6 linked regions of the Coturnix japonica genome follow. The protein of the gene in region 1 purifies or fractionates together with the protein of each later gene. This does not show direct contact. Links are inferred from orthologs where the notes say so. Each region holds a gene or a part of one and is shown in the gene's direction. Other genes may lie near its edges. The genes, in order: GSK3B, PPP1CB, AXIN2, PRKAR1A, PRUNE1 and EPB41L3.

The links.
Region 2: the proteins of GSK3B (region 1) and PPP1CB purify together in Homo sapiens (affinity purification with mass spectrometry; 3 studies listed by BioGRID and IntAct, with this or other methods). This does not show direct contact. The link is inferred for Coturnix japonica from reciprocal best matches to the Homo sapiens genes GSK3B and PPP1CB.
Region 3: the proteins of GSK3B (region 1) and AXIN2 purify together in Homo sapiens (affinity purification with mass spectrometry; 9 studies listed by BioGRID and IntAct, with this or other methods). This does not show direct contact. The link is inferred for Coturnix japonica from reciprocal best matches to the Homo sapiens genes GSK3B and AXIN2.
Region 4: the proteins of GSK3B (region 1) and PRKAR1A purify together in Homo sapiens (affinity purification with mass spectrometry; 3 studies listed by BioGRID and IntAct, with this or other methods). This does not show direct contact. The link is inferred for Coturnix japonica from reciprocal best matches to the Homo sapiens genes GSK3B and PRKAR1A.
Region 5: the proteins of GSK3B (region 1) and PRUNE1 purify together in Homo sapiens (affinity purification with mass spectrometry; 5 studies listed by BioGRID and IntAct, with this or other methods). This does not show direct contact. The link is inferred for Coturnix japonica from reciprocal best matches to the Homo sapiens genes GSK3B and PRUNE1.
Region 6: the proteins of GSK3B (region 1) and EPB41L3 purify together in Homo sapiens (affinity purification with mass spectrometry; 4 studies listed by BioGRID and IntAct, with this or other methods). This does not show direct contact. The link is inferred for Coturnix japonica from reciprocal best matches to the Homo sapiens genes GSK3B and EPB41L3.

The regions. Positions count from the first base shown.
Region 1 is NC_029516.1:71,650,058-71,655,397, forward strand, and holds the start of GSK3B (glycogen synthase kinase-3 beta), read left to right. Parts: upstream 1-2,063; 5' UTR 2,064-2,288; coding exon 2,289-2,376; intron 2,377-5,340. UniProt on the Homo sapiens protein: Constitutively active protein kinase that acts as a negative regulator in the hormonal control of glucose homeostasis, Wnt signaling and regulation of transcription factors and microtubules, by phosphorylating and inactivating glycogen synthase (GYS1 or GYS2), EIF2B, CTNNB1/beta-catenin, APC, AXIN1, DPYSL2/CRMP2, JUN, NFATC1/NFATC, MAPT/TAU and MACF1.
Region 2 is NC_029518.1:24,311,683-24,316,360, reverse strand, and holds part of PPP1CB (serine/threonine-protein phosphatase PP1-beta catalytic subunit), read left to right. Parts: intron 1-1,184; coding exon 1,185-1,316; intron 1,317-3,815; coding exon 3,816-4,046; intron 4,047-4,394; coding exon 4,395-4,499; intron 4,500-4,678. UniProt on the Homo sapiens protein: Protein phosphatase that associates with over 200 regulatory proteins to form highly specific holoenzymes which dephosphorylate hundreds of biological targets.
Region 3 is NC_029533.1:6,607,676-6,612,353, reverse strand, and holds part of AXIN2 (axin-2), read left to right. Parts: intron 1-3,303; coding exon 3,304-3,444; intron 3,445-4,678. UniProt on the Homo sapiens protein: Inhibitor of the Wnt signaling pathway. Down-regulates beta-catenin. Probably facilitate the phosphorylation of beta-catenin and APC by GSK3B.
Region 4 is NC_029533.1:6,398,057-6,402,734, reverse strand, and holds part of PRKAR1A (cAMP-dependent protein kinase type I-alpha regulatory subunit), read left to right. Parts: intron 1-3,582; coding exon 3,583-3,756; intron 3,757-4,376; coding exon 4,377-4,468; intron 4,469-4,678. UniProt on the Homo sapiens protein: Regulatory subunit of the cAMP-dependent protein kinases involved in cAMP signaling in cells.
Region 5 is NC_029540.1:2,202,221-2,207,534, forward strand, and holds the start of PRUNE1 (exopolyphosphatase PRUNE1), read left to right. Parts: upstream 1-1,673; 5' UTR 1,674-1,742; coding exon 1,743-1,781; intron 1,782-2,777; coding exon 2,778-2,882; intron 2,883-2,959; coding exon 2,960-3,165; intron 3,166-3,370; coding exon 3,371-3,555; intron 3,556-3,631; coding exon 3,632-3,790; intron 3,791-3,873; coding exon 3,874-3,968; intron 3,969-4,052; coding exon 4,053-4,211; intron 4,212-4,314; coding exon 4,315-4,638; 3' UTR 4,639-5,314. UniProt on the Homo sapiens protein: Phosphodiesterase (PDE) that has higher activity toward cAMP than cGMP, as substrate. Plays a role in cell proliferation, migration and differentiation, and acts as a negative regulator of NME1. Plays a role in the regulation of neurogenesis.
Region 6 is NC_029517.1:90,376,248-90,380,925, forward strand, and holds part of EPB41L3 (band 4.1-like protein 3), read left to right. Parts: intron 1-354; coding exon 355-456; intron 457-1,189; coding exon 1,190-1,894; intron 1,895-2,411; coding exon 2,412-2,534; intron 2,535-3,068; coding exon 3,069-3,446; intron 3,447-4,228; coding exon 4,229-4,360; intron 4,361-4,678. UniProt on the Homo sapiens protein: Tumor suppressor that inhibits cell proliferation and promotes apoptosis. Modulates the activity of protein arginine N-methyltransferases, including PRMT3 and PRMT5.

The DNA.
Region 1 (5,340 bases):
AGCAGATGCCCTTCTTTATGTGTTAATGGTTTTTCTGACAGTAGCCCCAGCTAAGGAAATAATCTATGAAAAGACTAACAGAAATTGGAGATAGATAGCTTTTTGTCTCTCCAAATAAATAATAACCCTGCTGTTAAGTACACGTGTGTGGTTTCATTCTAGATGAGAAGAAACTAGGACTGATATAGTTCATTTCTTAACCATTAGGGACAAATATGGGCAGGAGTGCCTATAAGGGAAGTAGAACTACTGGGATACCTGTAGTGTGGATGGACAGGGTTGGTGTCCATCAGTAATTTCATCAGTAAATAAGAAATTTGCATTGGTGCTCAAGACTAAAAAAGCCCCAATTTTAAGCTCAGCTCTACAGCGATGTTAGTGGGGTCACAGCACTCCAGCTCCTGCCCTGTGGAAGTCCACAGGTCCTGAGGTAGGACAGGCTCCTCCAGAGGTCGTGCTGGCCAGCTCCAACCAAAACCCTCGTGTGGTGGCACCAAGGCACGGCTATGAGGCCATTTTAGTGGCTCTGATATACACTGTGTTTCACCCCCGCCATTCCCAGCCCCTCTGAAGAGCCTGTAACCCCCACACAAGGGCGGCGGCGATAACGCCCCGCGCATGCGCACTCTGTCCGCATCCCCGCCCTGCGCAGCGGGTGAGGTCATGAAGGTGAAAGGGGCGGCGCCCGCCGCTGCCATGCTCCAATGGGAGCGGGCCGTGCTGCCGGCCCTGCATGGCGATTGGCCGAGAGCTCGCAGCTGGCTGCCGTCTTCGTGCCGCCTCATCGCCGTGAACCAATCGGCGGAGCGTAATCGAGACAGCGCGCCCTGCGATTGGCTGTCTGGCTTCGGCTCCCTTCGGGTTGGCTCGGTAATAGCCGGAAGAGAGGCTTTCTTCCTATTGGCCGCCCGACTGCGCTGCTAGGGCGGTGGCGGCGCCTTCCGATTGGGCCTCCGCCTGGCTTCGGGGGGATTCGGGTGCGTCCGTAAGGGCTTCGCGATTGGTTCCGATCCGTCACAGGCATTTCCGTAACCGCCTCGGGATTGGTCCCGACGACGCTCGGGTATTTCCGTCAGGGCCTCGGGCTGGGGGCTAACGAGTGCGTCGGGCGCTTCGGGTGGCTATTCACAGAAGGCGCCTAGGGCCGTTCCGCAGCGTAGGGCGGCGACGGGCATAGGCGGCTGCGCGGCTTTGGCGCACACACAGAGCGCAGCAGCGGGAGCCCGGCACGCAGCGGAGGCAGCAGCGGGGACAAAGGGAGCGACCAACAGAAACGGGGAGGGGGGCCCGGCGAGAGGCAGCCGGCGCCAGAAGGGAGCGGCGGGAAGCTTCAGCCGGGCGGACGGCTCCTCATGCGCCTCGGACGCCCGGGGAAGCAACAGCGAGAGCCGCCGGCGCTCTGAAGCCGGCTGAGGACGAGCTGGGAGCCAACGCCGCCGCCATGGCCCGCACCGCCGCCGCCGGCCACCGCCCGCACTGCAGCCTGCCCAGCGTGAGCCGCCGCCAGCTGCCCCTGCGGGAGCAATGAGGAGCCGCGCCGGAGCCGCCTCAGCGCCGCACTGAGAGCACACACACACACACACTGCGAGCCAGCCGGGCACACCGCGCCGCTTCACACCGCTCCGCCCGCCGCGGATCCCGCCGCCGCCGCCGGATCCCGTTGCGCGGGGCCGCATCGCCTCCCGTCGGCGGATCCAGCAGCTCCGAGATCCCTCCGCCGGGGGAAAAGTAGTCCCGCCGCCTCCCTCCCTCAGTGGCGAAGGGGGAAGGAGAGGAGAGGGCAGGAGGCAGAGAGAGGAAGGAGGCGAGGAGAAAAAGAAAAGAGAGAGAGAAAAAAAAAGAAAAAAGGCAAAAGACATAAAGGGGAAAAGGAGAAGAGAGAAGCCGAGCGGCAGGATCGGAGGAGCCGGGCCGCGAGCCTCCGCCCCATGTGACTGGGCTGAGGGTGGGGGCAGCGAGGCCTAGCACCGAGCACAGCCCCGCTGCTCGCGGCCGGCCCGGGGGGCTGCGGCTGGGAGGAGGCGGCTCTCGGACCCACCGGCACTGCGGGAGGATGGCGCTGTGAGCGCCGGGAGGAGCGAGGCCGGAGAAGAAAGGAGACGCGAGGAAAGGCCGGCGGGGAGAGCGAGAGGGGAGGGGGCTTCCCCGGGGGGGAAGGGGCCGGCGGTTCATGTGGCACAGCTCGCCCTTCGCCTCCCGCTGAGCCCGCAGCACACAGCCCCGCGAGCAGCCCCGAGGAGAGCGGAGGAGGCGGACAGCCCGACGGGACGCAGCCGGAGCCGGAGACCATGTCCGGGCGGCCCAGGACCACCTCCTTCGCGGAGAGCTGCAAGCCGGTGCAGCAGCCCTCGGCCTTCGGCAGCATGAAAGTCAGCCGTGAGTATCGGGCCGTTCCCTGCCGCCCTCCTGCCCTGCCTCGCGTTCGTCTCGGGTGGGCCGCGAGCTCGGCCGGGCCTGCGGGGGACACAAAAAGGCCGCTCCCGGCCCTGCCCTCGGCCCCTGCCGGCCGTGCCGTTTCGCCTCCGCGGGGGGCTCCTCGGGGTTACCAGCACCCCTGTTCTGCCTCCTGCCTCGGGGAGGAGGGGATGAATGACGGGCACGCGGGTACGGCCGTGACATTGGTCCCAATGAGGTGTTTTGTGCCCTCTGAAGGAGGGAGATGGAAGAGGTGGGGGGGGAGCTCTGTATCAGGTGTGGGAAGCCCACGGCCCGGCCTATTAAAGGCGGAAGAAAACGGGGGGCTATTACAAAGGCCGTCCGAGGGGGTTACAAAGGGTGTATCATACGCTGCTAATGATCCCCAACGGGAGGGAGGAAGAAAATCCTCATTGTGGCTTGCGAGTGGTTGTTTCGAGCTGCCTTGCCCAGGTTTTCTCAACGGGGATATTTTGAAGAACGAGGCCTGTGCTTTATTCCACACGGGCATGCTGGAAATGATCGGTGCTTGATGGGTGCCCACCCTTTGCATTGCAGCTGGTGGGCTCGGCCACACTATATGAATGGAGAATGGGCATTGCTTCTCGGTACGACCAGAGAAAGGCCCAGCTGCGGGTCACCTACAATGAACTATATCTCTTGAATGGCAAATAATTCCTGAAGGTTTCTTTGAATACGTGCCTATTAACAGTCAGATCATTGCCGATTCATGCTACGGGCTTTGTTTTCAGTAATATTCCCCCCTTTTTTTTTTCCCCTATGGAAATGGAGGGCTGGGTCTTTATGGGACCTGGAGCGCTTGATGGGCGTTAAGGTTTGATTGATCCGTTTGATATCCCGTGTGGTCACACCTGGCACTGCTGTGTGCGGGTTTGGTTCTTGGTGTTGGAGGCTTTTCAAGCCGGGGCTCTGCCCGGCTGGGGGTTTTTTGACAGATGAGAGAAATTCTGACGTTTTTCTGCATCAAAATGTACTTCCGCTGCGGTTGAAGCCTTGAGGAGAATATTGGGCTGAGGTTCTGGAGCTGCTGCTTTGTATCTGCATGATCAGGGTGCCTGCTGCACTCCGAGTGCCCTTTATACTCTTATATGCTGCTAAAACGGGTTGTGTTTGATCTGGTTCAAATGTATTAAAGATCTTAATTCACACGGGGGGGGAGGGGGGAAGGGGGAATATTTAAGACTCCATTTTAATGTATCGATTTATTTCACGTGAGCGTGGAATAGGAAGCAGGTTTTGTCGCTGGGTATTTCTGCAGGTGGCTGTTTAACGCTATAGCCACACTTAGCCCTGCCACGCTCCAAAGCTAAATTTGCCTTATTCGAGCTGTACGGCTCGATTCTTGAAAGGTCATTGATGCTCCTTTCCTGTTTGTTTGAGGTCAGAAACCAGACAGATGCTCGCCTTCGAAGCGGGTGCTAAGTGATGCAGACTAACAAGTTTGCAAATACGATTTGATCCCAAGTGTGGAACACGGAGGGAGAAACAAAGGCCGTAGCATAAAGCACACGCACTTGTGATAACCCCCCCCCCCAGCCCCTCCTCCCCAGTCGCTCTAGTCATGTGCTCCTGGTCCTTCTGCTGTCTGGAAAAAAATGTCAGAACAAAGCAAGAGAACCGCATGCAAGGACTGTGTGGGAAAGGCAGGCGTATTTTTCACTTAATCTATCCGTGTAAGACAGTGCAGGAAGTTTCGACTTCTTATTTTCCTTTGTAAGAGAGCAGCGCCACTGATTGCCAGAAAGGGTGATATTTTACTGGTTCTCTTGAGATTGTGAAGCAGATGGAAATGGATGGATTGCTGCTCTTTGAGTCCTGTAGGCAGCTGTTGTATCCCCATCTTGATTCAGACCTTCTCCAGGTCACCAGGAAGCAAAGCCTATCCTCTATGCCAGCCTTTTTGCTCGCCTTTGTAAGGCTGGGGTGGTGGTGAAATGAGGTGGTGAGGTCACGCTTGCTTTGGTGACCACCTTCTAGCTGATCCCGGCAGTAGTTCCATTCCTTTGAAAGGATTCAAAGGACGAGGTGGAAGCATTGAGGAAGGAATGGAGGAGGGTGTGTTGGACCTTGTGTTAGAGAGCTGGAGTGTGGTGATTGCTCTTCTGCTCAGGATATGGCAGGCTTAGGCCCTGGAACAGGCTGCCCAGTGAGGTTGTGGATGCCCCGTCCTTGGAGGTGTTCAAGGCCAGGTTGGACGGGGCCCTGGGCAACCTGATCTAGTAAAGGTGTATGTTTGGTGGCCCTGCCAGGCAGGGGGGTTGGAACTACATGATCCTTGAGGTCCCTTCCAACCCGGCTCATTCTGTGATTCTGTGAAAGGGGGGAGTGGCCATTGACTTTTCCATCTTTTTAGACTTTGTGCTCGGAAGTTGTTGAGAAGCTTGAGCCTTGAATGGAAGGGGATTCCCATCAGGGTCTTGTCCTCTGGCTTCGGAGGAAGGTGACTTCCCAGGCCTCTGTCATAGTTGTTAGTTATGAGAATTTTACAGTTGCTACAAGAGTAGGAACCCTGTGGCCTTCCTGTATCACTTCCATGATGTACCAACATCAAGAGTTCCTATGAGATCTGCCAATTTTTTTGTTATTTTGGTGTTTTTGAGATCATTTTGTGTTTCTTTCCACCGCACCATATGAATTTCTGTGCTGAAGTCATTCCCAGGTAGTTTATTCTCTGTTCAGGTCTTCGTTGCTGGCTTTGTAGGTTTTCTTCGCACAAAGAAACGTGTGTTCTTAGGTTGAGCCCGTAGGAAGTGCGTGGTATGGCAAAGATGGTGGTTGTGAGAGCTTAGCTGTTATCTTAACGTCTAATAGTGCAAGAAATCAGCTTCAAAATCAGGTGATGAATATGTAAATCAGAAGCTTGCAGTTCTCCACATGCTGATGCTATCTACCTGCTGATTATAG
Region 2 (4,678 bases), on another chromosome or scaffold:
AGCGTTCTGATCTTAACTCTTTGGACTTCAGTACTATGTGTCTTAGGATGGGTTGTTTCCCCTTATATCCTTTCTCCCCCACGTAGATGGCAGTGATCTACTCTGCAAAGTATGTTGGCTGAGAGCTGAGCTGCAATAAAAAGATGTATTCATTTTGCTCTTCTGTTAGCAAGTTTTATAAGACTTACTGAAACTGCAGCAAATATTTTTTGAGTCAAGTCTTACTGTGTTAAAGTTTGAAAACATGATTTGGTCTGCTAAAGGTTCATACCACTTTTTTTATAGCTGCTACTGTGGTTTAAAGCTGAGTGTTGCTCCATGCGAAGCAGGGGGGCAGAACATGATGGTAGCCTGGTATAGACACTGCTGTGTTCTGCTCTATTAGTTGCATCTGATTGTTAGTTTATACTGACATGTAGAACTGAATCACATCAGCCAGAATGTAGACATTTGTTCTGCCGCATGTACACATTAGAGCCTGAGAGAGGAATCAGGTAGGTATTCATGGAAAGAAGCAGCAGCAGATAGGCTTGGCAGAGGATGTTAGTCAGAGTGCGGTGGGGATGTTTTTGGAAACTTCAGGACTAAGTATGGATTGGAATACTTGGCTTGTGGATATAGGAATTCAATGTCAAGCTAATTGAATGTCTGTTTGGTTGCTGAGGTTCCCATAACTCGAGATCCATTATGTATGAATGAAGATTTTAATCAGCACAGACACAGTTTAATGTGATGTTCCTGATAGGACAGTTTCAGCTGCAAAAAGTACAAACGTTCCTTTTTATTATGCTTGCCTTGTTGAACTTAGTTGGCCTAGATCATTTTGCGTCAATGTATTTGAGATTTCCATTCTCAAGGCTTTTTTTGCCTGCTGCAAATACTCTAGCATAATCTGATAATTCATTTAAACACTTTTTGAAGTTGCTATTATCCAAATACAGACAAAAGCAAGATCTAAATTGCTGCTTTCTGGGACTGTGACTTAACCGGGATGCATTCGGAGCTTAAGCGCAGGTTGCCAGTATATCAGAGTTTAACTTTAGAACTGGCTGGAATATGCAGTTCCCACATTTAGTAGATAAGTTGGTGTGTCAGATACAGACTTCAAACACAGCTCATCTGCACTTAACTGTTGTTAGGTGTCTGTGTGCCAGCTATCTTAATTGTTAAACTTCTCATTACAGTACGAGGATGTCGTCCTGGGAAGATTGTTCAGATGACAGAAGCAGAAGTTCGGGGCTTGTGCATAAAATCACGAGAAATATTTCTTAGCCAGCCTATTCTCCTGGAACTAGAGGCACCGCTGAAAATTTGTGGTATGTAAACTTAATGTGTGTGTCTGTTATGTAGGTGTGTTGATTTAGTTGTATGCTAACTGGAATGAGAAGGAAAGTTGATGAAGGAGATGCTGAGATACACAGATGACCTTGATTTGAGCAATACAGATTAGTGATTGAGGTCTTCTCAACCTTAAACATCATTTTCAACTTAGATTGGAGTCAATCTAAGTTAGTCAAGAGAAAGGAACTAATGTTTGCTCTTGGTGCTATTTAGGAGCAAGTGCTGATGGCAGTAAGAGCTGCATGCACTTCTCTTCTAGTGCAAATTTTGCAGCCTGTCTGTTGTCCTAAGGGCTTCCTCCACAGAGCTGCTACTGTTTGGATCATTATCTCAAAGCATTCTAAAAACACCTAAGTAGTAAATGGTTGCTGTTGTTGTTCCTTTCATAGCAGAAACTGAAGAAAGATCTTCATATAAGATGAGATGGAGTACTTACTAGTCCACTTACTAGTGGAGCAATTGTAGTCATTGCCATTCACTTAGAATATTAGCAGTTATTAGTGTTATGTTTGTTCTTAAATGGCAAAGTCACTTTTAAGTGAGTAATGGCTTGCTTGAGTATGGAGGAGTGGAGGAACAGGACCAGCTTGCCTGACAGCATAAATTTGAAGGTAAAAATCTAGCTTTACTTCATTTTATTTTTTCTGTGATGAGAAAAAGAATAGTGTCATCTAATTCCTAGACAGAATAAAATTGAAAGACTTGCATACACTCTTAAGTTCAATCTGCAAAGTATAATGAGACTCCTTCAAACAAAGTTAGTTTCTCACTTGTTTAAATCTAAAGAGCTCAGAAGGCTCTTAGATATACAGTAGTCGAGATAGCAAATGCACAGTTATGTAAGAGATTTGTTATTTTTAAGTTACATGTTTAACAAAGCGGTAGCACCTGGAAGTGACATGTAGATCTAAATTAAACATTAGAGAAATTGTCAAAGTTGTATTTGTTTAGAAGTGGAAGAGAGGTGATGGCTTTCACTGAGAGCACAATATGCTGCTGTACTGCTTTGAACTACTGGTTTAATGTGTTCAGGTGGTGCTTGAGAAATTGTTATAGAACTGTCTTGTAATCAGTTCAAAATAAGCTTTTAAGTCTTGAATGGCTGTTCTAACATAAGATGGAAGATTTTCTTATGTAAACGTCCATTTTAAAATAGCTGTAGTTCTTTCTCTGATAGGCTTCAACTTGTGCCTGTATGAAGTTGTATTTTAAATTATCAGGTGCCTGCAAAGGAATAATTTGAAATGCTTTGGTCACTTCACAATAGTTTCTACAGAATGGTCTTTCATTCTTCTATGTCCATTAATCCCTTTAGCTTGTGTGTGTAACTTAAAGTAGTTTCAGACAATGAACATTAAATATTTCCATGGTATATTTATTTTGGTGATGAGTACTTCTGATGGTGATGAAGTTTGAGTACTAATTCAATAGTTCTGGAGTACTGGATTCAACACCATGGTGACATGTTGATGAAACTTGCATGTTTTTCTGTCTTAACCTGGAGATTTCTAAATACCAAGTGGAGTAGAAACTCTTCTTGTAGTGTACGCACAAATGATTTTAGCTGGTAGAACTTCAGAGGGCCTGCAGTTGGGTAGTGAATAATGTTCATTATTAAATGGAAAGTGGTGTGCAAGTCCCCTCCTTGAGCAAGAAATAGTTGAAAGCATTGTCTGCTGAAAGAAAATAGTGTTGATTTTTCTCATGGAAAGATAAAGAGGAATAAGGCATGAAGTCACTGCTGGAGTATGTGACTCCACACAAGATGTGCAAGTCTTTTTGTTTGGTTTAAGGTTCTGAAACAAGTTGTAGGCATGTGGGTGGGGACATTTTGTTTGTCAGTTTTGCTCTTTATAGCCAAGGAAGCTAGTTCTCTACTGGAGAATTACTAGGCTTAATAAAGACAGGTATTTTGCCACAGAACAAACAGCACAGTTGAAAATGTATTCATGACATGCTTAGTGTAAGGGATCAAGAAGTAGTCTGTATTATCAGCATACAGCTTTTACTAAGGGTTTCTTAGGCATAGTTTTGCATTTAGTCACTTTGTTAATGAATTCTGCAGTCAACTGAAGTATATCACAGCTACTGTACAAGTTACGGTAGAGCTTTGGTATCACTTTTGACCTTATGGGCAGCTCAAGGGTAATTACTTCAGCCTAGTCTGATGTGATGTGCTGTGGTGGTTTAGTTGCTGCACAGAGCTATTGTGTGGATGTGGATGGAAGCCATCTTAGTTTTAAAACTGGCAGTGTGATGAGTAACATGATCATTACTGCTCCTAAGACTTCTGCAGTTTTGAGTAGCATGTCAGGGCTATCAGTCTTTCAGTCTCTGTACTGTTTACAATAAATGCATCCAGGGAGTTGTCCTAAATGCCAGAGAATGGGAAGCTTAGTACAGTGATTTAAGCTCTTGATATGTTTACTCCTTACATTGTTGCACTCATCCGTGGTAATCCTTTTTTTATTCAGGTGATATTCATGGTCAGTATACAGATTTGCTTCGACTATTTGAATACGGAGGATTCCCACCAGAAGCAAATTATCTTTTCCTTGGAGATTATGTAGACAGAGGCAAACAGTCTCTGGAAACCATTTGCCTACTTCTGGCATATAAAATAAAGTACCCAGAAAACTTCTTTCTCTTAAGAGGAAATCATGAGTGTGCTAGCATCAACCGGATCTATGGATTCTATGATGAATGTAAGTTAAACCTATTTCTTCTGAAAGGCTGATGTGTATTAATACTGTGTTTTGGAAGTACTTCTGGTAAATGACTCACGATTCATGTGCTATAAGAATTTCAGTGTTCTGTGAACCTGCTTTGAAACCTTCTCAAAGAGCCTATCAAAAGAAGGTTAAACTTAGAATTATTTTCTATTCTGTTGTTTCTGAAATGGTATTGTAGGAGTCTCTGAGTGTACTCAGGTTTCAGAAATAAAGCTGTGTGAAGACAGTCAGTTTACATCCCCAATCAAGTTGTAATACATGTTGTAGGTTGGCTTTAAGAAAATAGTCATCTTTTCCTAATCTCTCACACTGCTCTTGTAGGTAAGCGGAGGTTTAACATTAAGCTCTGGAAGACCTTCACAGACTGCTTTAACTGTTTGCCAATTGCAGCCATTGTGGATGAGAAGATCTTCTGCTGTCATGGAGGTAAATGGATGACTACTTTTAAAGGATGTGTCTAAGCTGTTCTTTGGATTATTGTTGTATTGAATTGCGAGGATGTGCATGTTCAGCTCACAATGTATATTGTCTGCAAAGGTTGTTGTTGTCTTGCTTTTTTCAGTACATCTGGCTGCTAAGAAATATTTTGCTTCCCAGTCATAAAT
Region 3 (4,678 bases), on another chromosome or scaffold:
GTGCTTTGATCACCTCCTGTTGAATTTCCAGGAGCTTTTGCTCACTATGGGGCCAAGAGATCTCAGTGCAAAGGGATGGAGGTCAAACTGTGATGCTGCTTGGTCCCTCCCTGAGCTGCCCATTTGCAGAGCCACGTGTGTGTGTGTGTTTTAAGAACATGTGGATGGGTTATCTCTCATCACTCAGCATTTAGGAAGGCGCTCAGGATTGGAGCTGAAGCTCCCACAAAGTCTTTCCTGGTGAGTGGCCAAACCACACCTCCCTCCTCATACGTGCAATGGAATCAAAGAATCCCTGCCCTGTATCCAGCATGCTACGGTTTGGAAGTGCTGTGCGGGCTCTTCCCACTTGCTTCAATGGGACTATAAGAGCAGAATGAAGTGTGGGGCTGAGTGCACCTGATCCAGGATTTAGGGACAGGAGGCAGCTGGAAATCAATCCCAAGGCACAGAGTCATGGCCATGGCATGCAGTGTGTGGCTGAGCCTTCATCCCCAGCATCAGTCCTGCTGAGCGTGCTGGACCTGGCCCCACCATCCAGTAATCCCAGCCATTATTTATACACCCTTCTTATATGGAGCTGCTCTCCTGCCTTGGCAGTGCCACTGAAGTGTTGTTGGGTGCAGGGTGGGTTCATCTGCCTCCCATTAGCCCTGCACTCATTGGCAGTGCTGGCTCCGAGGCTTCCTGCCCTTTGAACGCCGCGCCGGTGGAGCTGTTGTGTGCGGAGTTATTGGAACTGAGTTTGGCTTCAATTATCAAAGTAAATGATGCCATTGTAAAGCTGCGCTCGGAGCGGTGCTTTACAATTAGAGCATGGAGGCCGTGATTAACATAGTTTTCTTAATATTTTTCTATTTCCTTCTAAAAAAGCGTATTTTTTTTCCACCCCCGTGTTTGTGCCGCTTCTCTTTTTGCCTTGAAACTTGTGAGCGCCCCATGATGTTTGTCCCAAGAAAGCACTTAATGAGCCTCAGTTCTGCCTTCAAAATGCTCCTGGCAGATTTTCTTTGCTCTCTGTATATACATCTGTGGTTTGAAGTGCCGGAACACTTCTTATTTTGAAGAAGCAGAGTTTGGCAATAAAAAAAACCCCACATTGAAATAGCCCTCTGATAGTAGGGGATGCAACCGGGAGCTCCTGCAATCATGATGGCCCTGAACTCTGATACACCCGTGGCCTAACGTGGCACAGGGAGAGCTGCACACTGTGTGTCATTGCATCCAGATATGAATAGCCTGAGAAACATCAGATGTTCTCCTTGAAGCTCCTTGGGGGCTTTTCATCAGTGAGGTTTTGGTAGGGGAAGCAGCGCTGCAGGCTGACACTGATGGGGGGAAGAGGAGTGAGTTCTGGCCACTTTCTCTAATTATATCTTTCCGAATGCTGTTTGGACACACCTCCTCACCCTGCGCTGTGTTCATACACAACTGCTGCCTCCGCCCCCCAGCAGGGAGAGCACAGGAATGTGGCCCTCCTGGGGCAGCTGGGGAGGGCTGTGCTGGACCCTAGTGCATCCCATTCCATGTTACTTAAGGAGCATCCCATCCCAATCCAGGACCCTGGAGCAGCCCGCCCTGCTGAGCCCTGTGGTCCTTGTGTGCGCTCTCAAGACCTGCGATGGTTTCAAATCACTGTTAGGAAAGAGCTGCATCCCTTGCTCAATCCCCTGGAAGCCCACCAAGGACCCACGCAGTGTCACAGGGACTTCACATCCCTCTGAATCAGAGCAGGAGGCTGCATGCGTTTAGCAAACTCCTTTGTAGTAGTAGTGGGATAACTTTGCTTTCACCCACATGTGGAATTAATTTATCTTTGAAGATTTAACTTCTTTCCTGTGGCATTCCTCGCTATCTCATTTTTTTTTTTTTTGCAGCTATATGTTTTCTAACATCTTGATCTCCCCATCAGTGGTGCCTTGGCCTCCCTTGGAAAGGAATGCAGCCCTGGCTGGGCTGAGTACCTGCAGCAGCCCCAGCCCTGCACCTCATACCAGAGAGGCCCAGCTTCTCCCCCTCCTTTTTTTTTCCCTCTTCTTTCTTCTTTTTTTCATTTCCTTTTTTATTTTAACTTCTTTTTTTCCTGCTTTGTTTTTAACCCAAGCTCTGTAAAAGCCCCCGTTTCCCCCCATGCTGCAAGGGAGGGGTGCACAGCAGTGGGGCAGCTGCTGCCCCCTATTAGGGCCGCTCTGTTGCATCCCACCACTTCCCCCAGAGCCCTGCCGTGGGGGTGGGGAGCTTGAAAGCCCATTAAAAAACCTGCCGAGCCTGCTGGCACATTCCTTAGGCCCCCAAGTCCTGGGTAAGTGGCCCTAATTATTAAAATCAGCAGTCCTTATCAGATGACAAGGCCCTTTGCTTTGATATACAAACGCAGAAGCTTAACAACCCCATCTTCCATCTCAGGGGAACAAAATGTGCACCTTAACACGCAGCTTTCAAACCTCCCTGCATAATCCCCTTATCGCCTGCCAAGATAGGGGATTGATCCCAGCTGAGTTGGAGGTTTCCTGCTCAGTGACCCCATCGTAGCTCCCGGCATTGCCCACGGATGGGTTGGTGGTGATGGGCTCAGCCATCCTGGCCAAGCTCAGGGTTTCCTTCTTTGGTTGAAGCTGTTGCTTTCCATGTGCAACCTGCAGCTGCTTCTGCCCTCATACCGACCTCATGCCTCCCTCCTACCTCATCCAGCCCTAAGCACAAGAAATCCCGTGCTGTTTGGTGAGGAGGTTCACCCTAAAAATGGGCCTTTGTGGTGCCAGGAAGATGGCACCTCTCTTTGGGGGGGGCCCTAGGGTAGCAGGTTGCAGCCGTGATGCGTGGGGGTCCTGTTTAGCAGTTCTCTTGTTTCCAATACACAGATAGCATAACTTCTCCCAAAGGAGCCTTACCTCCTGTGTTCAGAGTAGGTTTAAGCATTTATGAGCTTGTCCTCAGTAGGGCTCAAGCTATGAACTTCTTGATCTAGTGCTTGTTGATGGCAGAGCTCCTGCTGGCTTTGGCAGCACAGCACCAGGCTCTTAGGACCAAGGTTCCAAAGGTATCAAAATGCCCTGGGACATCTCCTGGGGTTTTCTGAGCTGTGTATCCTGTGCCAATAGCCACATCTTTAACACTGGGCTGTGGGTGCTTTTGAATAGCATATGCTGGTTGTTCCCTTGCTCCTGGCAGGGAGCTGTTGTGAGCAATGGGTGCTTGGTGCTTCTCAAGGGGTGCCATATGGAGAGTGCTGGTGTTAAGCTCACGTGCTGTCCTCCAGCCCAAGCCTGGCTGATAACTGGGTTCTTATTTGCCTGTCTCTAGGTCCTTCAAGAGGAATGATCCTGTTAACCCCTACCATGTGAGTTCTGGCTATGTCTTTGCCCCAGCAACCAGCGCAAACGATAGTGAAATATCCAGTGATGCCCTGACGGATGACTCCATGTCAATGACAGACAGCAGCGTGTAAGTATCTTATGCTGGCCTGGTCTTTTTTGGGGTGCACCATCTCTAAATGGGCTGTACTGATGCACTGTAGGTAATTGTGGGTCCAGCCACACCCAGAGGGCAGCCAGGCCTGGTGGCCTCGTTCTTTGTGCCGTTGCCGTAGGTATCGGATGGAAGGAGGTGATGAACCCCTCTGTAGCTGAGCTAACGTGTTTTCCCCTATGCTTATAGTACTGCCTGACTAACCCAAGGAGCAATCTCCCTGTGCCTTTTGTCTTAAGGCCAGGCTTCCTTAACTAGTTATCAGTCATCAAAGAGGAGGAGATTACTTCCTGTAGGAAGCACTTTCTGTAATTAAGGTTCATCGGTAATGTCAGTATGTACATTAATAGGGCCAGTGACCTGAAGGGGCAAATAGCTGCTCAGCTGGTGTGGCTGGGGCAGCCTTCAAAGAACCTTTTGAACGGAGCTGCTTGGATCAGGTCTGAGTGTGTTGGGAGCAGAGGGAAGGGATGGTTTTGTGGCAGGATCTGTTTTTCTCCTCCTTGGTGTGCAGTTTCAGTGTTCTCCCACAGTTTTCCTTCCCCAGCAGAGGAGGAATGGTGTTTTTGTGTCTGGAGGTGGGGAAGTCAGTAGGACTCGCATAGTGTTCTTAGGGACCCCTTTCTTCAACTGGGGAGAAGGCAGACGTTTCTGTTTGTGTTCCTTGATCTTCACTTTAGTACAAGTCCTCCCGAAACGCAGCCTGTCAGATAACAGTGCTGTGTTCCAGGTCTGCATCCCAGGACTGAACCTTCCCCCTGTGCCTATGGGATGTGGCATTGAATCCCGTGTGCTCCTTAAAGAGCTTTGCATGCTGGTTGTATTTTTAATCGACAGCGCTGCGTGATGATGCGCAATGGAAAACAGGATTTACCAAAAATCCTTGATGTGTAAACAAAAGCTTTTTATTTAGCTTTTTTTCGTCGTTGTTGTTGTTGTTTTCTTAGTGCACAAGTGTGTTTTGAACTGATATTACGGGAAAAAAAATAGTTTGTTGTCCCACCAGATTCCCTTATTGAACAATATTGGCATTAAATAAAAGAGCTGAATCATAGGGTGACTTCTTTATTTCTTCTTACTGGCTCTGGTTGTATGTGATCATGTGTCAACAGAGCATTCATTGGGTTAGTCATTTCTGGACCAGTGTAGGGTCACTTGGGATTCACAGGGCTAGGATTATACCCTCTCTTCACAGCAATGCCAATTGTAG
Region 4 (4,678 bases), on another chromosome or scaffold:
CACCTCTTGCTTTGTTGTGACAGAAGTAAACTGACAAGGACACTTACCCACCTGGGATTCACGTGTGATCCTAGTCTAGTGTTTGCTCATAGAAACTGATAGATAGGACACGTGATCCTGTCTGTGGTCAGTTGGTAAATGTGCTGTGTGACCCTGGTAGCTGCTGGTGATACACATTTGGTTTCTTCTGTTGAGGCAAATTGATTGCAAAGATTCAGGTATAGAACAGCAGCAGGCCAGTGTGGTAGTTAGCCCGGCCTAGCTGAAATCAAATGAAAGCACTTATTTTCCTGATTTCTAAGAGAACAAGCCTGTTTCTTCATTCTGTTGGGAACTGAGTGTTACTGTTTTGCTTTTTGTTCCTCTCATTTGTCCTGAAGGTCTCTTCAGTGTTCTTGTTGAAAACCTTGTGATCTTTGGAATGAAAAGCGTTTTCATTTCAGTGCTCATATTTGAATCAATTTAACGCTGATTTGAACAGTTAATTGAATATAACTATAGCTTAAGCTGATAGAGAATAATCTGCTATGAAAACATGAGTTTTTAAGGGTGAATGCAGAAGAAAGATTAGCTGTAACCACTGCACTCAGCACAGGTCGTTAGTAATTACTGTAGCTGTGACCTTGTACAGCAGTCATTTGCAGGTGCTGCTTTAGCTTCCCATCTTACGTGGAAACTATATCTTTGTCTTTTTTCAGGCTCCTAATAATCCTTCATCCCCACCTTTTACTGTATCAGCTTTCCCACCTTGTATTCTTGGGTTTCTAGTAGTGATACATTGTAAGGTTTGGTGTATCAATGCTTGTGCTAATGTTGCTTTAAAAACTATCAAAGAAAACTGTTCTTTTGAAGTTAGGAGGTAGAACTTGGAATAAGCGAAGAGTAAGCAAAGCCACGAAGGGACATAAAACAGAAGCATGGCTATATGTGCCAACTCGTGTGGCTGTAGCTGCTGGTGGAACTGTAGCCTTCTTATATTATTGAATATAAACATTGCCATGTCTTTCTTCAAGGTAATTTCATAGTTCAGCCATATGGGTTGGTCTTAGTTTGAGCAGTGTGTTGAACCTTCAGAGCTATCAAGTAACAGAGCTGCGCTGCTGCTATTAACCAGCTCTAACCTGGTACTTAGCTCCAGTGCAGCAGAAATGTTTGAAACCATGTGTTTTCCAAGAGTAACATCTGTTTTATCCTTATGAAAGCAGAGCAACTTTCCCATCTACTTTTAAAATGTTACACTGAATGAAACTGAGGTTGAGGCGGAGTATTTTTTTTAAGCTTTGGTTGAGACTGACTTCTGAAGGAACATCATTTAAAAATGAAGTGTGGGTTCTATTTTCTCTCCTGACAAGTCATCTCTTCCACAGTGCACACAGAGCTGATTCACTGTCATGTTACTCACATACATTGGAGATGTTTAAACTTACCGTTGAATTATTGCTCAGAAACACTCAAATTACTGCCTCTGAAGTAGTTACAATAGGAATTCACGTGTCCTTTTCAGCTATGCAAGCTTTCACTTGAATTTTATCACTATACTCAGATAAAATAACATTTATACAATCAATTTGCGGTGCACTACGGCTTCTGTTGATTTTGCTGTGCAAACAGGGCTGATAACACAAGTGCACACTGACAGCTGATTGCTACCCGGTGCTGAGCTTGGCTGCGTTCTGTAGTTGAAGCTGTGAAAACCTAATGTAGAGATTGGTATTGCAGCCTGCCAGGTGGGTCTTCTGCACGTGTATTGGGCTTTGTGCAAAACAGAAGTTAGAAAGCTGGGGATAATGGTCTAAGTACTATGCCTATTTCTCATCATCTGGCCTGCCTCCGTAAATGTGTACTTAAATATCTTTCAAGTGACTTGTTTTGGGGAGAAAAAGGGTGGTGGAAAGCTGATATAAATTAAATACAAGTTAACCAGAAGAAATCGACTATTTCTGGTGTCATGTGGATGCCCAATCCCTACAGGCATTCAAGGCCAGGCTGGATGCCTCATAAGAATCCGTGTTGTGGTTATAGGTGCTTTTCTTCAATATTTGCTTTAATTTTAAGAGCTTCTAAACTTGAACAAATACGTTTCCTCACTCTGGTTGGATTCTAAGGTACCTGAAAGGGGCAGCTATGATTTTTGGTCAAGGCCTATCTGGTGATGTAATATACACATATAACAGGCTTGTTTTTAATGTAACAGTGTTAAGTCTCAGTGCAGGCAGAAGTCACCAGTTCTGTTTTCTCTCCCAGTGCAGCTGCTGGTGGATTTATCCCAGAGCAACACTGTGATGTGCAGCTCCCTCCCTCAGTGCTGTTGAAGTGCTTCCGTCTGTGGCATTTGCAGGGTCTGTGTATCCTGTGTGATACTAGAAAAGTCACAGCAGCTGATGTTTGCTTTCTAAATAAGTGCCAAGGCTTTAAATATTCCTTGCCCCAGCAGTTGGAAATGTGGCACTATTTTGTTAATGAACACAAAGCAGGAAGCGCAGGGTGATTTGACGGATCAGTGCTCTTTGGTTATCTGAGAAGTATCAAATGTAAACTCACTGTAATGGTTAGCTGAGGTCCCTTTCCTCAAAGCGGTGGAGTTACACGTAACCTCTGTGTACCTCCGGAGTGGATTGTGGCAGCCAAGCCACAGGAGGGACAGCTTTATCAAGGACACTGGGACAAGCCCAGCTTTTACGTGCCTGGAGCCCTCAGAGGAGACAGATGACTCCTTGTTCTGTTAAAACATGTCCCCAAACCCTCTTTCCTTATGGCAGGGAGAAAAGCATTTGAGTCATAATAGCTCAAATGACTCAACTGTGAGGTTGGCTTTTTTTAAAATACAGATCTTAGTTAAGTAAGGTGAATTTTCTGTTATGTGAAAGGATCAAATCTCTGTGCTTTGATATAGTTAGGATTCACTTTATTCTAACTGTGCTGGCTTTTCCCAGTATTAATCCAACACAGCCCAGGAAGCAGCTGTGGGAAATAAGGAACATGTCTAGCATTGTACACAGCTGACAGATCTGTGGCTTGAGAGAAGGTACTGTTTGGCCCTTAGCATCTTTTCTGTAAGCAGTGTTCATGTCTCTTCTAAAATAACCCATGGTTACCAAGCATCGAGTTGGTCCGTGGCTTCACCTTGTTTCTAAAGCTTCTCATGTAACAGGGATTTCAAAGGAGTTGTTTTTCTGTCCTTCAAAGGAATAAAAGGCTTAACACCCTGCAGCTCAGGGGAGGAACTGCTGTATGCACTCTTGGGAAAATGGCTTTCTCCTTTGCAGGTTTTTTTTTTTTCATTGCTTATTGAATATGCTAGTGGAAAGTAGAGTCAAATTGTGCTTCTCAAATTAATTAACTGTTAGTGTAATTTGTTAAAATCAACACCATTGTGGCGTGAATATTAGGAAAGGCGTATTTTCTGTCTACTTCAGTAAGGCAGTTGATCATGCGAGCTGTAATCTCCTGCTTGCCTTAATGTGAGAGTAATAGGACACAGGAAGCTCCCCTTGTGCTGGCAGGCTAAATTGGAATATGATATGTAACTGCTTTTTCCTTTCCTGGATTATGTGACACAAATATCTCTTCTTTCCTGTTTAGGAGGAAACAAAACAGTTGTTAAATCAACAGAAGTCTGGTTCACGTTCAGACTCACGGGAGGATGAAATCTCTCCTCCTCCTCCTATGAACCCTGTGGTCAAGGGTCGAAGAAGACGTGGGGCCATCAGTGCAGAAGTCTATACAGAGGAGGATGCTGCATCTTATGTTAGAAAGGTGCTCTAAGTTTTGTCCTTTAATGTTGCCAAGAGTTGTACATAGAATCAGAGTTTACTTGAGGCTATTTAATATCCAGTATATTAAGTAACACTAAGCCTGTAACCTGTTAGGTAGTGTGATAACAGTGAAATTCAGACCTGCATGTATAGCTCTTTGGGTTGCCATGCAGACAAACCATTTTTACAGTTTTGATCTTTTCCTGTTGATGTAGTGTGTATATAAACACATATTTATATATGTGTTTTTAATTCATGCACACAGAGTACTTCTAACGGATGCAGCAGTATTAAGTTTAACCCAGAGGTGGAGCAGATTTGCTGCTATTCATTGAGAAATTAGTTGAACATATACTTGCAATTGTGAAAAGACACTACGGACTTAACATGGAATTGTGGTTTTTACAGTTGCATAAATTCAATGTTTTATTTACCTTCTGAATAAACTGGCTGTAGAAGTTGACTGTATTTGTGTCTTAGAACTACAGTGCTTAAAAGAACCCGAAAATACTTGAGTTTTGTAGCAGTGTGAGTCATTTGTTAGTCCTGGATAGTTCAGAAGATTCTCTTTAGAAATTGAGTCAGTTACTTTTTCTGATTTTTTTTTTTTTTTAATCCTAGGTTATTCCAAAAGATTATAAAACTATGGCTGCATTGGCAAAAGCTATTGAGAAGAATGTGCTGTTTGCCCATCTTGATGATAATGAGAGAAGGTAGGAATAAATCTTTGTCGAAGTCTTAAAAGTATAGTATAATGCTAAGTTAAAAGTTACAAGTTGCATTTAACTTTCCATTTGTATAGTAAAATACAAAGTTGCACAGCCTGTTTACAAACAGTCAGTGTAAATGTAAAGAGATTACAGGAAAAGTTGGTTGGTTGAGGTTGGAGGTGTGCGAATGCATGCACAGTATCACGGAATAGC
Region 5 (5,314 bases), on another chromosome or scaffold:
AAAGCCCAGAGCTGCACTTCCCACTGCTGGGATGGGAACTGCAGCCCAGCGTTCTGCTATGGTGTTTCAGAGGTAGGAAGCAGACAACCAGCCCTGTTAATGTGCTCATCCCAAAGAGGAATTCAGGCCTGGATCCAGGGAAGCACTTAAACACACCCCAAACAGCAGCAGAGTGGTCTCAGAGGAGTGCAGTGCTCAAAGAGAAGCATGTGCTGAAGTGCTCTGCTGGATGGAGGCCATGAAGTCATCCCTGTGCTGCTGCCCCACACCTTTGTGCACACAAACACCATCAGAGCATCCTGCAGTGCACAGCGGGGAGGTGAGGAAAGTAAATGTGTGCTGCAGAGGAATATACCCCTGCTGGGAAATGCAATACCCGGACACCCCCCGCCAGTGACCCCACAATGCAGACCTGGCTGGGAATGCACTGCAGGAAGCTGAGGGCAGCATCCCATGGCAGCAGCAGGACAAACAGGTCTGAACGCCTGCAGTGCTGCACGCCGCCTCACCCAGCCGTGGTTCCATTGCTTCCAAAGCAGCTCTGCAGGGGGAAGGCTGCTGCAAACAGGTGCCAGCAGGAAGCTCCAGACCGGACCCACTGGTTGGGCCAGCTTTCAAGCAGGAAATCCTTCAGGATTTCTAAATCCTTTAGGATTTCCTGCACGGAGCAGCACCCGACATTTACCAGCTGCTGCCCCAGAGTGGGGAAGGGGCACATCCAGCAGCTCTGCTCCATGCCATGAGCTCTTCCTGCCCACCACAGGCACAGCCTGCATGGAGGTCGGGATCTCCAAGCGTGGACAACAGGAGGCGAGGAGCCTCACGACGCCTCCCACAGGAGATGGCTGCAGGTTGGAAGCACAGCACTCACCTTTCCCCCAAAATCCAGCAGTGCAACCAGCACAATCTGCATCCAGATCTTTAGCACAGGGCCCCGAACAGCAAAACGTTCCCTTTATGGGCGGGGGGGGGTTTGGAGGTGGGGGGGTGATACCTCCACATTCACTGAGTTCGGAGTTTAGTGCTGAAGAAGTCAGGACCGAACGACCCCCCCGCAGCTCCCCTCCAACATGAACCATCCCATCGGCTCTAATTATCCCGCTGTTATTAATCGCTCCACCGATATATTACATTCGTCATGTAACCCCCCGGCACCTGCCCGGCCCCCACCCAGCAAACAGACACTGCCCGCTTTACAACCACCCCCCCGGTCCCCCCGGTCCTCCTTTCCCCTCACCTCGCTGCCGCCACCGCCGTTATTCGGCCTTTTTCCCCCTTTTTACCCCCTCCTTCCCCTCAGCGCGGAGGCGCGGCCCGCATGCCGCCAGGCCTACGCCGGGAGGGCGGACTTAGGGCGGAGAAGGAAGGGCGGGGGGAGGAGAAAGAGACAAATAAACAACCGCATGGCGGAGCCCGGCCACGAGCCGACTTCCCCCAGCCGCCGCTTCACCTTAGGGCGGGGGAAGGCCGGCAGGGAGCGGCCTGCGGCCTACGAGTAGCGCCTGCGGCCTACGGGCCCGGCCTACGCCTGCGGGCCGGGCCTACGCGAGCGGCCTACGCCTCGGGCCTGGGCCTAAGCGACCCCGGACCGGGCCTGAGGAGCTCCGGGTGTCCCCCCGCCCCGGGGCCGCCCCGCCTCTCCCGGCAGCCTGCGCGGAGCCCACGCTCCGCCTTCAGGGCCGGACCGGGCCGTGGCGCGGGGTGGCGGTCTCGGTCTGGGCCGGGCGGTGGTCGCCGCCGTCATGGAGCGGTTCTTGGAGGGGCGGAGGGCGGCCCTGCAGGTACGGCCGGGAGCGGAGCCGGCGGCTGCGGGGTTGGGAGACGTGGAGGGGGGGGATACAGGACAGCGGGTAGAAGGGGATAAGTGAGGGGTTGGGGGGCACGGGAACACCGCGGCGATACCGCGAGTGGGGAAAGAGGGACGGGATGGGAACGTCCCACAGCGATGTGTGGGGAGGAAAGGGGGTGTAGGGAGACGAGCAGCACATGGACCGGGGGGGTTGGAGGAGTATGAGCCCCCATTACCTCTCCAGGAGAGCCCGTGTGCCCCCCCACCCACCCACCCCATGGCTGGAGGTGACACTGTGCCCTGCACCCACACTGTGGCGTTCCCGCACCCCACAGGTGGCTGGGACCCCCCCCATGTCCTCTCCTTTGGGACTATTGGTTGGGGGGACCTGCAGTACCTGAATGGCGCAGGCTCTGGGCTTGGCCCACGGCTGTTTACTTTTTCAGTGGAATAAATAAGAGAATCTGGGTTATGCTGTGAAGTGTCTGTCACTGGAGAAAAGCCTGCAGAGCATCGAGTGCCAAAGGGAGGGAGCTGGGATCTGTGGGGGGACAGTGGTGTCCCTGCTGCTGCCTGGGCTGAAAGGGGCATTTTGGCCCCACAATGACAGTGTCGGTATTGAAAGTCCCGTCTGCCTTTCATCACAGCCAGAAAAATCACTCTGGTCTGAGGTTCAGCTCATAAGGATCCACAGCAGGTCCTCCATCTCCCGTGGGTGCCACATCCCTGCGTGGGGGGGGGTCCCAATTCCCCCTGCTGCAATGCTGTGTGACCTGCTTGGCTTTCTCACACATGTGCTGTTAACGTGAGGCTTTTGAGACACAGAACAGCCCTGTTTGTGTTCCTCATTTGATGAGACCATCGCTGGGAGCTGCTTGTGGGGGTGCTGAGGCCACAAATGGCTCCGTTTGCACAGAGCTGTGTCCTTCAGGGGGGCTTTTAGGGGGTAGATGTGTCCCAATGGGGCTGACGTCTCTCTCTTTGGCAGGAACACATCCAGCAGCATCAGGAGGTGCATGTGGTGATGGGCAACGAGGCCTGTGACCTGGACTCCACCGTGTCTGCCCTGGCCTTGGCTTATTTCCTAGCAAAGGTGAGGCTGCCTGTATGCTGCTGGGTGATGGGGGGCTCAGGGGATGCCTCACTGGGTGCTGATCCCCCCCCCCACAGACCTCTGTGCCACCCAAAGCCGCCTTCATCCCAGTGCTGAACATCCCACGCTCTGACTTTGCCCTGCGCACGGAGACAACGTTCCTGCTGCGGGAGCACAACATCCCCGACTCCTCGCTCATCTTCCGCGATGAGATCGACCTGCTTGGGCTGCACGGGGCTGGGCTGCTCTCCCTGACTCTGGTGGATCACCACGTCCTGCCTAGGTGAGCGCCATGATGGGATGTGGCTGCGATGCACTGCTTTCCTTCTCCCTGTTGTGAGCGAAGAGGTCGGATTTCAGCCCAGGATGGATAAAAGCTTTGCCCTTCTTGGGGTGTTTTTAAGGCAGATGAGCAGAGGGGGCTGTGCTGACGGTGGTGCATGGCAGGGCTGTGCCAGGGCTCTCACTGTCCTCATCTCACCCGCCAGCACCGACGCAGCCCTGGAGGAAGCCGTGGTGGATGTGCTGGATCACCGGCCACTGGAGCGGGAGTGGGCGCCCAGCTGCCAGCTCACGGTGGAGCTGGTGGGTTCCTGTGCCACATTGGTGACGGAACGGATTGCACAGGGGCCCCCGGGCGTGCTGGACCGGACCACGGCTGCACTGCTGCATGGTGAGGCTGCCTCTTAGGCTTTGCTGCCCTGGTGTGGGGCTCTGCTCCCATGTGCCGACAGCCCCGGTCCCTGCAGGCACCATCCTGCTGGACAGCATTAACCTGAGCCCTGCTGCTGGCAAGGTGACCCCTCGCGATGTGCTCTGCGTCTCCCTGCTTGAGTCGCGCTTCCCGGAGCTGCCGCCCCACGACAGCATCTACAAAGCACTGCAGGCAGCCAAGTTTGATGTCTCAGGTCTGGCTTTGGGGGCTCAGCAGCGCTGTGCAGGGTGCTGGGACGCGGGGCAGTGCTCACATTCAGCCCCTCTGCCTTCCCAGGGCTGACAACGGAGCAGATGCTGCGGAAGGACCTCAAAACAGTCTCTGGGGATGAACAAGTCCTTGCCATCAGCGGCATCTACATGGACATAGAGGTGAGGCTCAGCAAGGGGAGGCTGAGGCCCAGCACAGTGTGATGTGTGACTCCAAGGCCTGTCCTCCTCCTCCTCCTCCTCCAGCTCTTCCTGCGCCGTCCCGGTTTGCTGCAGGACCTGGAAACGTTCTGCCAGGCTCGTGGTTACTCCGTGCTGGTGGCCATGACGGTTTCCTTTAATGAGTGCTATGAGCCCACGCGGCAGCTGGCGGTGTACAGCCAGAACGGGGCCCTGCGGAACATGGTGAGCCAACACAAGGGTGTACAGAGCAGGGTGCTCTGTCCCCCCACTTCAGGGCTGGGGGTGTCAGAGCTGCACTGCAGACACCACCCTTTGCCCCCTCCAGGTGTGCTGTGCACTGGAGGAGGCCACAGCCCCAGCGTTGCAGCTGCAGGCCCTGCCCAGCCCCTGGCCTTGCATTAGTGCCTATGCACAGGGTAACTCGCTGGCCTCCAGGAAGAAAGTGCTGCCCATCCTCAGGGCTGCTCTGGGGGGAGGGCCGGGCACTGCAGCAGGGCAGGAGGAGGAGGCGGCCCCTCCGCCCACCCCCATGAACAGCCTGGTGGAAGAGAGCCCGCTGGCACAAGCCGTGCCCCCTGTCTGCCCCCAGGCTGTGCTGGAGCGGGTCAGCCGCATGGCCACAGAGCAGCACCCCCCTGACTCTAAGTGAGGGGTCCCTGGTGGTGCTCAGGGTGCTGTGGGGGTCACATCCCCAGCATGGAGCTGCAGCTTCCTCTGTCTGAGCCTGGCTGGCTGCTGCAGCCCCCTCCTCACTGCCAGTGCTCCCAAAGCACCCCTCCCCCCCCCCTTCCCACTGGGGTTGGTGCTGTGGGGTCTGCAAGGAGTGAGGCAGCACACAGTTAATGAAGGCACTGAGGGGGGGGTTAAGGAACTCTTCCCCTCCTGGCTGTTGGGGGGGTCTGAAGTGCCAGGTCTGGGCACACAGCTGGCTGGAGACTGTTAGCCACCAATTCAGGATTAAATTTACCTCTTCCCCCTCACTGCTGGCTGTTGGTTTTTCTTTATGAATCCCCAGTGCTGCCTCACACCCCACCTGGACACACAGCACAGCCCCATAGAGCTGAACCCCCATCTACATCCACCACCCCCCCTCAGCAGTGAGCAGCCCGGGCAGCCCGCAGGCCTAGCACAAGATTTTATTTCAAAGGTGGGGTTGTGTCGGTTTTTGTTTGTTTCCAAAGGGGGGATAAAAAGTGACTCAAACATCTGCACTCACCAGGTGCAGCGTTGGGGCTGAGCAGCCCAGCATCACTGGGAGCACAGGGGAGGGAAGGGAAGCTCTGCTGCCCCGCTTGGCTCCGGCATCTGCTGGTTCCTGTTCAGCC
Region 6 (4,678 bases), on another chromosome or scaffold:
ATTTATTTTATTATCTTTTTTTTCCCTTCCAAACCTTTTATTTTTTAGCATACTTACTTCATAATTATAGAGGCAAATGTTTTGGGGGCCAAATTCAGAGGAATGTGGCCTCTTCAGTGCTTATGGCTACCTAATACAGGTTGATTTCTTTGCTAGTTACAGCTCTACTTGCACGGTGCTGTTTGTGGATGTTGTTTGCAGTTGTGCATGCATTTCCAGCATAAAGTTACACTGAGAACTTTGTGATGAATGGGGAACTTGTGTCATTAGAATGAATTTCCTATATACTGTCAAGTGAATTCAGATTATTCTGAGTGATGGTGAACTTTGTGTTCTTATTGGTTTTTCTATTAGCCGAGTGTGATAGAGAAGAAGCTGCAGGAAGGAGAATCTGCTGACACTTTGGTTACTTCTCATCAAATCATTATCCAGAAAAGTATCCCATCATCCCTAGAGGTTATTTCTAATTCATTCAATTTTAAATAACCACATTTGCTTAGTTAAATGCAGAAGTTACAGTCTCATGGTCAAATAAGTGGATGCCAGTTGCATAGTCAAAGCAAATCATGTTGCATACTTGTATAAGAAGAATAAAAGACACTGCCTTCAGTTCAATATCTTTAGTAGGATGGCATTTACTGTCTTGTACTATTAAATTTAAATAGTGCTGAAGGGGGTTGATGTTTTCTAACAAAAGCAGACTGCAGTGCAGACTGCAGCTACATACAAATGCATACTGTTCTAAAATCTCATCAGAAGTGTGGCTGTTACAACTGGGATACAGTTGGGCTTATTTGCCCTATTTCTGTAACTTGTTTTCAACTGTAACATTATGAACCATGGTGATATATGATTTTTAACCTCAGGATGATTCTGATGATAATTTTACTCTGCTTCAAATTACTGCAGAAAAGTGTGGCAAATGCAATTTATTTATTTATTTATTTATTTATTTATTTGTCCACATTATATGGGCCTCTAATGGGAAGAAACCTAGAAGAAATCTAACTCTGCCTGAGGTGATGCTGTTTATTTGTTTGATAACTACTCTAAGAAGTTCAGTGGTAAAATTATTATATACTTTCCAGAGAGACAGGATTGATTTCTTAAAAGACTTCATACTTTAGTACTCCTGAAACACAGATAAACCTTCAGATATTCTAATTTAGCTTTTATATCTCAAATATAGGGCACTGAGGATTGGGTTATTATAGACAAAGTACCTTCTGAGGTAGCTGATGGTGAATCGAAAAAAAATGTGACATACAAAGTGGTGACTGTGAGCAGTAAAGCTGGCATTCCGCCCGAGGTACTAAAATCCAGCACAGTTCTGAGCTTTGAGGACTTGGAAAGTGAAATACAATCCAAAGATGAGAATAAGCAGAAAACATTCACCTTAGGAAAGTCCTATGATGCTGTGTCTGGGAAAATTGTTACCATGACAAGTAAAACAAAAGAGGGAGAGAAAACAGTACAGCCTTCTGTAGAAGCTTTGCAAAAAAAGGAGAAGGAAGCACAAGAATCTTTGAAAATCATTCCAGTATTGGCCAAGTATGGGATCGTAGAGCCTGTCGCTGAGGAGAAGGCCGATGTGCAGAGCACAAAAAGAAAGCTGTCTGACTCCCTGACACCTATAAAGGAAGCGGAATCTCAGTTGCAAAGTCCCGAAGAGGAGAGCTTGAAAAAGACACTAAGGATGGACCAAGATTTGCAGTTACTGGGAAGCTTGCAGCTTGGCAAAGCAGAAAAACACCTTGATGGTGAAGCTGCAAAAGCAGGGGCATTTACCTGGAAAGATAAAAGTGTGTCTGAGTGGAGATACTCCAGAGAACAACCATTTACCATTGCTACTGCTCACTATGTTGTTACTGAGTCGTCTGCATCAAAAGTAGTGGTAACAAGAGGCTTTGACTTCATGCCACAGTTTAAAGATTAAAGCATGACTTCTTTTAGGCAATGCCCTCACACTACCCTGCCTTTCAGTTCTCCTGCTGCCTGGCTTTATGTTGACAGCAGCCAACCCAGCTTATTTTTTTCTCATAATTTGAAGCCATACTACAGTGTAAAGCAGGCATTATATAAGGCTTTCAACTTTTCTGGTTCATTTAAAGATCCATGTTACTGACGTGTGGTGTTGCCGCTGTTGCTTGTTAACCAAAGGGTAAAAAGGTTTGCCTGAACGAGCAAAACGCCGGTGCTAACAACTATGCTTTGTAACTATTGCTTAATACAGCCAGTATGAATTTGCTCTAATTTATTTTCCCATCCTTATCCCATTCCCAGCCTCTCTGTGCCCTGCAACCTTCTCTTCCTTTCCTCTGTCTCTGCCTCCTGTTTTGTCAGTTAATTTCTCTGTGCATGTGGGTTGGCCTTTCATCTGTGTATGACTCTCCATTTCTTTGTCTGTTTAGACTAAACAGTCCACCGGTGAAAAAACCCTGGATGGCTCAGATATCTTCAGTTTAATAGAGTCCGCCAGGAAGCCGACTGAGTTCATAGGAGGGGTTACTACTACTTCCCATAGCTGGGCGCAGGTGGCTGTTTCATTCCATCCCTCGGTGTTATAACTGCACAATAATGACTTTTGATTTGCTTTTGTTTCCTGTTTTTATGCATAATTCAGAGCCTGTATGCCTAACGCATTGCATTGCTGTGCCTTGTTCTTTGTTACAACAGACCACAACAGAAACTTCACCAAAAGGGAAAACAACGACAACAACAAGTGTTGTGGGTTTTTGTTTTTGTTTTTGTTTTTAATCTCATTTCAGTTTATTTTGGTCATTTTACAGGGTGCTGTATTTTGCCTTTATAAGACTCGCACAAAACTACCAAGGATAAAAACACTGGCATTTTTCTTCACTTCTAAAATCATAATCTTGTTTTATTTTTCATTTCTACTTTTCTGATTATGTCCTTAGAGTGAAAATCCATTAGCGCGAGAGAAATAAATTGGCAAAATGTAATACCCCGTTTTTATTTATGTTCACAGTACGTTAAGCTGAGGAGCTGCTCTGTGTAGCATTGTCTGCTTTCAACATGAGGATTTTTTTTTTCTTCTTTCCCAACAGAGAATAGACACGACAACATCTCAGGAGATAACTTCCAGTGAACTGAAGCAAGCAGCTCAGCCACACCAGGACGCAGTGACGAAGGTTGTACAGGAGACTGTGGTTATCGAGGAGAGACGTGGGATGAATGTGCATGCGAGTGGGGATCCCGCTACAGTGGCTGGACTTGCAGATGCCCAGGCTCAGGCAGCATCTGCTAGCGCAAAAGGGAAGGAGGGCACTGCTGTGACTAAGGGGGCTAAAGAGGAAAAAAGGGAGGCTCACAAAGCTGTAACCAAACAGGAAGGCATTGCTGCTGCTACTTCTCATGAGCAAGCGGAGGAGCACAGTACAACAGTCCACGTTTCAGACTCTTTGGAAAGAAAACCTCATTTTGAGGTAACTCGTTAAATCAGTTCTTGTGCTGAGTTGTAAATGTATGTGGTAGTGGACTAAGTCAATTCCTCTCATGGAAAGTAAAGAGTACAAGACTTCTATGATTGCATTTTTACAGCAGGCAGTTTGTTTCTCCTCTTATTTCCTCCTTGCATGGCACCTGCAAAGCTTGTTGCTGGTTTCCATCCTTGGCTAAATGCCATGCATATTTTACCTAAAAGCGCTTTTCATGCTGCAGAGAAATGCCTCATTTGCTGGCTTTTTATGCAGTGGGCAACAAGGACTCAGCTGGCATTCTCTTTGGGAAAATCCATCAGGATTGGCAAAGTTTGCATGTCCTCAAAGAAAGAAATTTTTTTTTTTTTTTCCATTCTTGATACAGTCATACATTATTGTAGTCTGTCTGAAGCAATCTGTGCTTCTTGTTTTAGCCCCATTAGAAAGATTTCAAGAAACATTTTGCAGAAGGGTAGAGATACCTTGTTTTGCTCTTTTTTTCTTTTTTTTTTTTTTTCTGAAAGCTGAATGGAAAAGCAAGCCTGAATAGGATTTGTTCTCTTGTCATTCTGAGAACATGTGTAATGTTTACATGTTTCCTGAAGCTCGTTCTCATGTAATCCAGAGTAGTGTCGAACTGCTAGTGCTATATACATACCATTACAACAAAGAGATTTTTTTTTCTCTTTTGTTTCTTAAAATGCAGAGCACTTTTTTATTAAAAATCCAGAAACTTTACTAAATTTTCCAATCCCTTTTTTTTTGTTTGTTTGTTTTTGTTCACACAGTCACCAGTTGTGAAGACTGAAACAATCAGTTTCAGTAGTGTTTCTACTGGGGGGGAAAACCTTGAAATTTCAACAAAGGAAGTGCCAGTAGTCCATACAGAAACAAAAACCATTACATATGAGTCTTCACAGGTAAGAAATCCTACAGAAGCCAATGTCTAATTAGCATGGCCTTGAAAATCCCATCTCTCTTCATCCATGTTTTGGTGTATTCCTTAGTATGAACTGTTGTTTGGGAACTCAATACTAGCACGGAGAGTATGTGCAAAAGTGTATTGTACCTGAAGGTGACTGGTGTGTCCTGATGTAGGGCCTTTAGAGAATGCTGATAAAACTATAGGTTTCAAAGCCCCAGTTTCTCATCTGTCCTTCCAGAAGAGAAGTCGTAATGCAGAGAGAAATAAAGATGCATAATCACCCTAACAGCTGTTATTTCCCTGTTGTTAAATA